Linked DNA regions of Nothobranchius furzeri. The protein of the gene in region 2 interacts with the protein of the main gene of each other region in a biochemical or structural test. Links are inferred from orthologs where the notes say so. Each region holds a gene or a part of one and is shown on either strand. Other genes may lie near its edges.

The links.
Region 1: the proteins of rufy1 (region 2) and rab4a form a complex in vitro, tested with the Homo sapiens proteins (2 studies listed by BioGRID). The link is inferred for Nothobranchius furzeri from reciprocal best matches to the Homo sapiens genes RUFY1 and RAB4A.

The regions. Positions count from the first base shown.
Region 1 is NC_091749.1:34,752,432-34,756,990, reverse strand, and holds the start of rab4a (ras-related protein Rab-4A), read right to left. Parts: upstream 2,835-4,559; 5' UTR 2,699-2,834; coding exon 2,683-2,698; intron 2,024-2,682; coding exon 1,943-2,023; intron 1,533-1,942; coding exon 1,418-1,532; intron 1,244-1,417; coding exon 1,181-1,243; intron 1,103-1,180; coding exon 948-1,102; intron 833-947; coding exon 737-832; intron 651-736; coding exon 535-650; 3' UTR 507-534; intron 334-506; exon of another isoform or gene 314-333; 3' UTR 1-313. Other genes in the region: phf10 (PHD finger protein 10), read left to right, coding at 3,355-3,426, 4,327-4,433. UniProt on the Homo sapiens protein: The small GTPases Rab are key regulators of intracellular membrane trafficking, from the formation of transport vesicles to their fusion with membranes.
Region 2 is NC_091741.1:103,293,687-103,298,119, forward strand, and holds the start of rufy1 (RUN and FYVE domain-containing protein 1), read left to right. Parts: upstream 1-1,577; 5' UTR 1,578-1,808; coding exon 1,809-2,127; intron 2,128-4,433. UniProt on the Homo sapiens protein: Activating adapter involved in cargo sorting from early/recycling endosomes. Regulates retrieval of proteins from endosomes to the trans-Golgi network through interaction with the dynein-dynactin complex.

The DNA.
Region 1 (4,559 bases), on a different chromosome or scaffold from region 2:
ATACTTCCCGTGAGTCTGGAAAACAAACAGGAACAACTATTACAGAAGTAGTAATAATAATAATAATGCAGGCTAGGGTTAGGCATCCTGGTCAGGGACAATGTGGTCCAGTAGAGCCAGAGACGGATGAGTTTGTGGTTACCATGGAGATTCAAGTTCTTGTGAAGTTGGGCGTAGGTCTTCTCGGCTCTCTGCTCATGCACACGTGATAACAAAGGCTCTGAAGGGTCCGTGCAAAGGTCAGGGAGGGGTCACCAGCACAGCAACCTGAACCCAACACTGTCTGGTCCTCCATGGTCCTTCTTCTTCTTCTCTTCAAAAAAAAAAAAAACCCTGTCATTACATAAAGAAATTTAAAGCAACATAATAAAAAAGCAAATACTTTTCAATAAAAGATGCAACTTTTGATGTTTCTGTTATGTAACAAAAACATCACGTCAGAGATGTTGCTGAGACCATCGAGCACGGCTCTAAACCATCCAACGCTTCACATTTTTTTCCTGTACCTTGACTGCGTGAGATGCACGAGGCCCCTTAGCAGCCACACTCCTGTGTGCCCTGTGGCTGAGCGCGGCGAGGAGAACGAAGCTGTCGTAACGCGGCGTCGCCATACTGGATACCTGACCCCATCCTTTCTGGGTCCAATTCTCCTAAAACCCGAGATATGATCAGTGAACAGATGAGCACCTAAAGGGGATCTGGAATAGCTTTTTAGGGTTATTAAGCAAGCTCCTACCTGATTCTATCTTGTTGAGGATCTTCCGAGCGCACTGGACAAAAGCCTCTTCAACGTTCTCCCCCGTGAGAGCGCTGGTCTCCAGGAACATCAGCTCTAACAGACATGTTTTGATTAGAGCAGAAGCAACTGACAGTTCTTTGTAGAAAAAAACAATCAGTGTGTGGCTCGAAAAAGGCAAAGAAACAGAGGCGCTTCTGGTGGATCTCACCGTTCTCCTGAGCGAAGCGCGACGCCTCCAGGAACGTGACCTCCCTGTCAGCATCCAGGTCCTTCTTGTTGCCGCAGAGGATGATGACAATGTTTTGACTGGCTAACATCCTGGCATCGCTCAGCCACGTGGTCAGAGCGTTGTACGTTTCACGACTGCAGCCGGCGACAGACACGGATTAAAGTCTGGAGCACAGTTAGAAAACCAACAACTAAAGCCGAGTTCTGTGATACCTGGTGATGTCGTAGACAAGCAGGGCCCCCGCTGCGCCTCTGTAGTAGCTCCTGGTCACAGACCTGAGACACACACAGTTTCCGTAGAGCTAAATTTGCCACCAGCAATGCACAAACGAGACAAAAATGCTACATACTTCACTTAAGATATCAGCAATTCAAAAAAAGGTTAATTTTGTACAGAAGTTGTTATAAAAATGAAATACCACATGTAGTAATGATGGGATTTTGCCCTACCTAAAGCGTTCTTGTCCTGCTGTGTCCCAGATCTGCAGTTTGACTGTTTTGTTGACCACACTGATGATCTTAGAGCCAAACTCCACTCCGATCGTGTGGTTGGATTCATCTTTAACTGGAAACAATAAATGGATAGATGAAAAAAATGGATGTATAAATCAGGATTAGAAACAAAACTAGAGAATTATTCTGTACAAGTGTCAAATGTGTGAGATTTATTCTAAATGTTCAGAAATGTAACAGACATTTAAGTACTGTTATGCAATGTTAGTCACTTTACACGAGCAGACCTGTTGTACAGTATGTGTGCGTGAGTGAGTGTGTAGTCCGCCTAATGCAAATTAAATCTAAATTTAGAAATCAAAACCACTGTTCCATACAAACTACACCAACACTAAATAAAACACAGCCAATGTGGATTTTTCTCAAAACAATAAATGATCAACCTGAATAATTAGCCAGGCATTTAGATGATCAATCACAAAAAAAAAAATGTGAAAGAAGTGGAAATAATAGAGAACTTACATCTTTTCTCTATGAACTGGTGCAGCAGACAGGATTTTCCTGTCCCAGCATTCCCAATTACCAGGAATTTAAACAGGAAATCTACAAGGGGAACAATACAATCATTTAATAGACATAAGCTCAGCTTGACCCTCTTAATGTGGCATTCATAGGCACTAGCTCATCTTAATCCTAATCTTATTTGAATCAAGATTATTTTATAACTGAGATATAAACCAGCTGATATATATTACACATGAATACCTGATGGTTTGTTTATAAAGGCAGGGACACCTGCTTACTAACCACAGGTTTGTTCATTGTGTTTATGGTGTAAACAACTCATTTTGTATGCTGCAATAATATTTTACTGTGAGATTTAGAATGATCCAAATGTAAAATATACACATAAAGAGAGCATTAAATGGTTATTTATTTAAAAAGTTGAACAGTTCAGCCTCAAATTTATGCCAGCCCTGTCCTCCTCTTTACCCCTACCTGGTATCTAGCGGTTCTTCTGATTAGAATCCCAAAAGCTCCGTTACATTCAGTGTGAAAAGCTACATCAAACCCAGATGTATGATCTGAGTTGACTGACAGCTCTGCTTTAAGGCCAGAAGCCTTGAGTGGTGAAACGGTTAGCCTGTCGGCTATCTTTTTGCGATGAGAAAACGCCTTCTGGGCACACCTGCCTCGTCTTTACCACTGACTACCAGAAGGCACCCGTTAACTGTTGCCTCGGTTTAAAGCAGACTCCTTACCGTAAGACTCCGACATCGCCAATGTGGCGGTTTGATTCCAAAAGCAAAATGAAGGGAGGAATAAAAGTTGACAGATGCACAGCTAGCTCAGTAAAGGAATACACCAGTGATAATTTCCGTGCATTCCAGCTGATTTTTCCTTCCGACTTCCCGTAGGTTCTTCCTTTCAAAGTAAAAGTCCTTCCATGACCGACACTGTGATGCACTATATAGTTTTCGCCTCACTATGGAGCTGTTATTAAGTCTCCAGAAACGTTAAAATCATGATTTATTATAGATGTAAAAAATAATCACAAATAAGAAACATCCACATTGTAATAATTAGTGACCAGATATATTACTTATTATTGTTGTCAACTTGAAGGATTATACGTGCAAGTATTGACCAGTAGGCGGCAGTAGTGGTCACTGTGATTGGCTGACTGCAGCTAGACAACTATTTTAAAAATTGTTCTGCTGTGATAACCTTGCGTTAAAGGACCAAAACCGATTTCACATGATTTTAATACATGATCGGAATATTTGGTATTTAAAAGTAAAACGTTTTTCACCTCTATCACCGATCCAGGCCAGGAGAGTTCGCTTTCTAAACCGAAGGCTTTACCATAGAAGAAGAAACGCAGACTCAAGCTAGTGAACTAGCCTAGCTGCGGAACATTATTTTGTCGAAATATGGCTACTGTGCTCCCCATTAGACCACCTTGCGATAGTAATCCTGCCACCCCAGGAGCGCAATCTTTAAAGGTGACATTCACACTCCTTAAACTGCTTCATGCTTCAGCCTGTGTCCACGAATGACCCCGTTAGCCGTATTAGCGTCCATTCTTTGTTTTCATGTGTGCTCAGTTTATTCAATTTACCTTTCAGTTGTTGAAAAGTCGCCTGTGTAATTTGACTCGTATAAAAACGAAACGTAACCTCAAAATGCATTATTTGCTAATTTCTCTATTTTAAGTTCTACTTTTATTTTATATCTAATGAAACTTATACTTGTTTTTCCTAAAATAACACGTTTTGTACACGTGAGTTGTTTACAGGTAATGAATTATTATATCACTCATAAATCATGTTTTGCAGTGGCTCATTTAAAATAAAAAATGTATGAAGTAACCCTGAACTGGCAAACAACACACGAGTCTTTTAATCCTACCTTGTCAGGGAAATGGTCTTGTCTAATATGTACAGTAGTTTCTATAAACTTTCATTTTTTAGAAGTGATGCTCAAGCCAGAGGGTTTGAACCCTATTATTCTAGAGGTTAATGCCTCTAAAGTTGATGATGCAGCTGTATTGCATTTCAGGTTTTGGTTGCCCTCCATTCATTTTCACTGATTTGGGTACAGAGGAAACACTCAAGTCTTTTGTAAACAACTACTTTCATGGTCCTTTGTCAGGTTTTTCCAGGATAGATTTATATTTCTTAAGCACTGTGACTTTCAGGAATAGTTTACCTGATGTATACATCTCTTGAAACCTGACAATTTTTTAAATATTTAATCACCTCTTATTCTGCTGTTACATGACTGGGCAGAAAATGTGTAAAAAGCAGCAAAAGTTGAAATAAATTAGAACTTTTGATAAAGATAAAAACATTCAGCATGTTTTTTTTTTTTATTTTAATGAAGAGCTTTTTTCCTGTTTTTAGGAGGATGTAATAGAGGAAGTGTCCAATGATGGCAGCCAACCTAAGAGAAGGAGAATGGGTTCGGGGGACAGCTCTCGAAGTTGCGATACCTTCAATCAAGAGCTTGGGTAAGAGGGTGCTTTAATCTAGTTTTTACCGTCATGTTTTACACAATATTGTTAAATTTAAAACACACTTTACTTGTCAAACTTTCCCAGGTGTTGTACTCTAGAATGTGCAATTTTATTCCTAAA
Region 2 (4,433 bases):
AGGGTATTGTGTGTTGGAGGTTGAGAGAAATAACATAGTTGAATATGAGGTGTTTAAGGGGTAATGATTGGAAGGCTAGTACCAAAGCACTGAAACGGGTATATGTAGCAATGATCAGATCGGTTATTGATTATGGTAGTATTGTATATAGTTCCGCAGGTAAAACATTCCTGAAGAAGATTGAAGTTATTCAAAGTCAGGCTTTGAGAATTTGTTGTGGAGCAATGAAAACCACACCGATAGTGTCTTACAAGTGGAAATGGGAGAGATGCCATTGACTCTTAAGTTACTGAAATTAAATTATTGGGCTAGTGTTCAAGGTAGTGAAGAGGATGAGCATATGGTTACGGGAGAGATGAAAGTAGGAGGGCAATGTTTGTATGGCAAGTATGAGAGTATGGTCTGGAAATCGTATAAATTGGCGGAAGCCTTTAAATTAAATGATAAAGTTGTTATTAAGAAATGTCTATATTCGCCTACTCCGTTTTGGTTATTTCCAAAAGTAATAATAGATTTTCATATTCAAAATGAAATTAAAATACGGAAAGGTGTGGGAAACTGGGATGATGTTGTGGAAGAAAGGTTAAATGACACATCAAGCATTCATCCCTATTTATACTGACGGGTCGAGAGAGTCAGGAAATATAACGGGATTTTCTTTCTGGATTCCAAAATTAGGTATATATCATAAAAGTTGAACATCTAATAATCTGTCAGTATATACAGTGGAAATGTTAGCCATTTCATTTAGTTTCCAGTGGATAGAACAAAATGGTGTTGGGAATAGTATTATTTGCTCGGACTCCATGTCTGTATTGTTATCAATTAAAGAAATGTCAGCTGATAAGAGGTCAGATATTTTGTATGAGATATTTGAGTGCTTGTTTAGGTTGATGAAGACTAATTCAGAGGTTAGATTTATGTGGGTTCCAGCCCACAGTGGAGTAGAGGGTAATGAAAAGGCTGATTATCATGCAAAGCAGGCAAGAAAACTGGATACTATGATGGAGGTTCTATATAGTGTTGCAGAGGTGAAATCAGTTATTAGACAGCAGATTCTGGATGAATGGCAAGAACAATGGATAAGGGATGTGAAAGGAAGACATTTATACAAATTAAAGGGAAAGGTTGGAAGAATGGAAGTCATTCCAATGAGTAACAGAAATCAAGCAGTGATAACAAGGATGAGAATGGGACATACAGCTTTGAACAGTACGCTTTTTATTCTTGGACGGCATAATACCGGTATGTGTGAATGTGGACGTGATAGGGAAACAGTAGAACATGCATTATGTACTTGTAGAAAATATGTGGGGAATAGGAAAATGTTAGTTGAAAAATTAAAAGTTAAAGGATATAAGAAATATGATTTGAATATTCTGTTAAATGGGGACTAGTGGTTTATAAGTTAGTCACAGACTTTTAAGGAAAAGTGGAATACTTAATAGAATTTAGTTTTTTTTTTGTAGGATACTCCCCACTTCAACTCACACTCCCATTCAGTAGGTGGCGGACATGCACCTGAGAGTTGGTTGCCACCCACCAATTAAACGACAAAAGAGGAAGAAGGTTGAAGGAGGCGGTGTGTGTTTGTTGGGGAAGTGGAGTGAGAGAGTTTATTCGTTTCGTTTAGTTGTTCTTAAACAATACATGCATACATTAGATTAACGTTTTAATATTCTGAAATTTTGCGCCCTGTCCGGCAAATAGCGCCTGCAGGCGAGGCGCTGCTCATCTCGAACAAGCCTGTGTACGGCAGGAGGACTGGTCACTCGAGTTCATGTTCGAAAAGGGAGGCGGAGTCAAACATGGCTGACGAAATATTGGTGATAAACACAGCTGTTGAGGACCACGAAGAAAACCAACACTTAGATGGGGCTGAAGTTTCAGGTCCGGCGGCTCACGGCAGCAACGGTGGGAACTCTGGCGAGAACACGACTCCGTCTGCGGAGGAGAGCAGCTGGTCAGCTCCTATCTTGTCTCTGGCTAGGAAGGCCACGGAGACGATTAGCAGTGGGATGAGCTACGCTACTGCCCCTAGAAAATCATCTCAGGGGTCCGCTACAGGTTCTCCATCGAAGAAAGGGTCCGAAAACTACCTGAACCACTCATCTTTAAACCATACGGGTATGACTCTTTAAATAACAATGAGATCCGACTAAACTAAGTTTCAGTGAGCAGTTACTTCCTCTTGCACTATAGTCAGCTGTCTAAAAACATGACACATACATAGGTGTGTGTGTGTGTGTGTGTGTGTGTGTGTGTGTTTGTGTGTGTGTGTGTGCGTATATATATATATATATATATATATATATATATATATATATACACACACACAGATGTGTGTATATATACATAGATGCGTGTATATACACATGTATATGTTTATATATACACGTATATGTGTATATATACACGTATACATGTGTATATACACATATATATACATGTGTGTATGTATATATATATATATATATACATGTGTGTATGTATATATATATATATATATATATATATATATATATATATATATATAGTGTATTAGGGTTGTCACGGTGTGAAAATTTAACCTCATGGTTGATGTGACCAAAATTATCACGGTTTTCGGTGTGATTGCGGTATTTTTTAAACAGTGTTGCATATGTTCAGAAAGCATTGATAGTCCTGTTCTACACAAACTGAAATAGCTTTGAAAAGGTTTAACAGTGTTTATTAAAGCTAAAATAACACAAAGCCTTAGCAAAAGTGCAACTTTTCACAAGTAAAGGAACAAATAGCTTATTTTTCTGGAACATGTTACAGTAGTCAGTGCAGGTTTAAATTATACAAATCCAAACATTCAAAACATAAACAATATGTAAACAAATCAAAGAAACACCACTTGTCTTCTCATATGCTTGTTTTCTTCATTATCAAAATAAGAATCTAAGGCCCTGTCCACACGTAGCCGGGATCTGCCAAAACGTAGATATTTTTCTACGTTTTGGCCTGTCATCCACACGAAAACGGATCTTTATAAAAACTCCGGCCAAAGTGAAGATCTGCGTTTTCTCCGTTTTGGGTGTCTGCGTGTGGACAGACAAAACCGGAGTTTTAAGGTCTGCAACGTCACTCTCCACGACAAAAAAATGATGACGTCACGTGTGCGACCTGTGTTTACACTAGCCAACAGCATGGAAGCCTTCAGAGCTGCACTCGCTTTATCAATTGTCCAAGTGCTTTTTGCTTGTTTGTTATTGCAAGCGGAATTACTGCTCCTTGCGGAAGACCACAGACGAAGGATGAGGTTAAGAACGGGGGAGGTACTGCCGCCTACAGGTCTGGCATGTCCTAAACAACATATTTATCCGGGTACGTGTGGACAGAGTTTTTTTTTTTAAAACGTGGTGGTGTGGATGCAAGTTTTTGGAGGGGCGGATATTCGTTTTTAAAAAACCCTGGCTACGTGTAGACTAGGCCTAAAACTCCAGTCCACACTTGACGTGAGCACTGTACAAGTCAACCTTAAAAAAATATGTGTTTAAAATAAATAGCCACTTTAAACAAATTACTAAAATAACTACTACACTATGTAATCAAATCCAAATGTTCAAGTATAAATGGCATTGAAAAAAAGTAAACAAGTCAATGGCTAGGAAGTAATTGTATATTTCTCTTCATCATCAACAAATAAGATGCTTCATCCAGCATCATGACTGTCAGCAAGCATGACCATTTATTTCAGGTTGAAATGCAAAAATGTCAACATATTAACCTTGTCTGGTTTAAGATGTGATCTAAGAGAGGAAAGAATATACCCGCTGGCACTGAATATTCCCTCTGATGGAACACTAGTTGCTGGAATACACAAAAGCTTTTTTGCCTGCCTGGTAAGATGAGGCAGCTCTGATGCATGGCCCCTCCACCACACCAGTGGATCATCATCAGCTAGAATGGATGGCAGAGACATGTAGACTTTGACTTCCTCCTTCACTTTATCTTCTGGGGTGGCTGGACCTGAACCCTCTTCAGATCGCTGCTGCCTTGTTGAGGTAATCTTTTTTAGTAACTCAGCAAGGCCTTTCCCTCCTGCTGCTGCTGTAGAGTTACTGCTGGTGCTTTGTGGTTCCTGCGTGACGTACAGGGGTCAGCTTCAAGGCCTCCTGAAAACAGCGGTCAACTACATCATCCACAGGGGCATCTAAGAAGTTATTCTTGAACCTGGGGTCAATGAAACAAGCCATCTGCATGACATCTTTTGCTCTCTCTGTGTACCGGTTGTGTAGGTATTCTCTCATTGCCCGTTTCGTCTGCTTGGTCAGGGCTGGCTCCTCTTCATTTTCCTCCAGGACATCACCAGTGATGTGGTCAAGGACTGGCTTAATGGCTGATAAAGTTACTCGTGTCTCTGAGTAAAGTGCATCTGTAAACTTGCTCGGTGGTTCAAGGAGCTG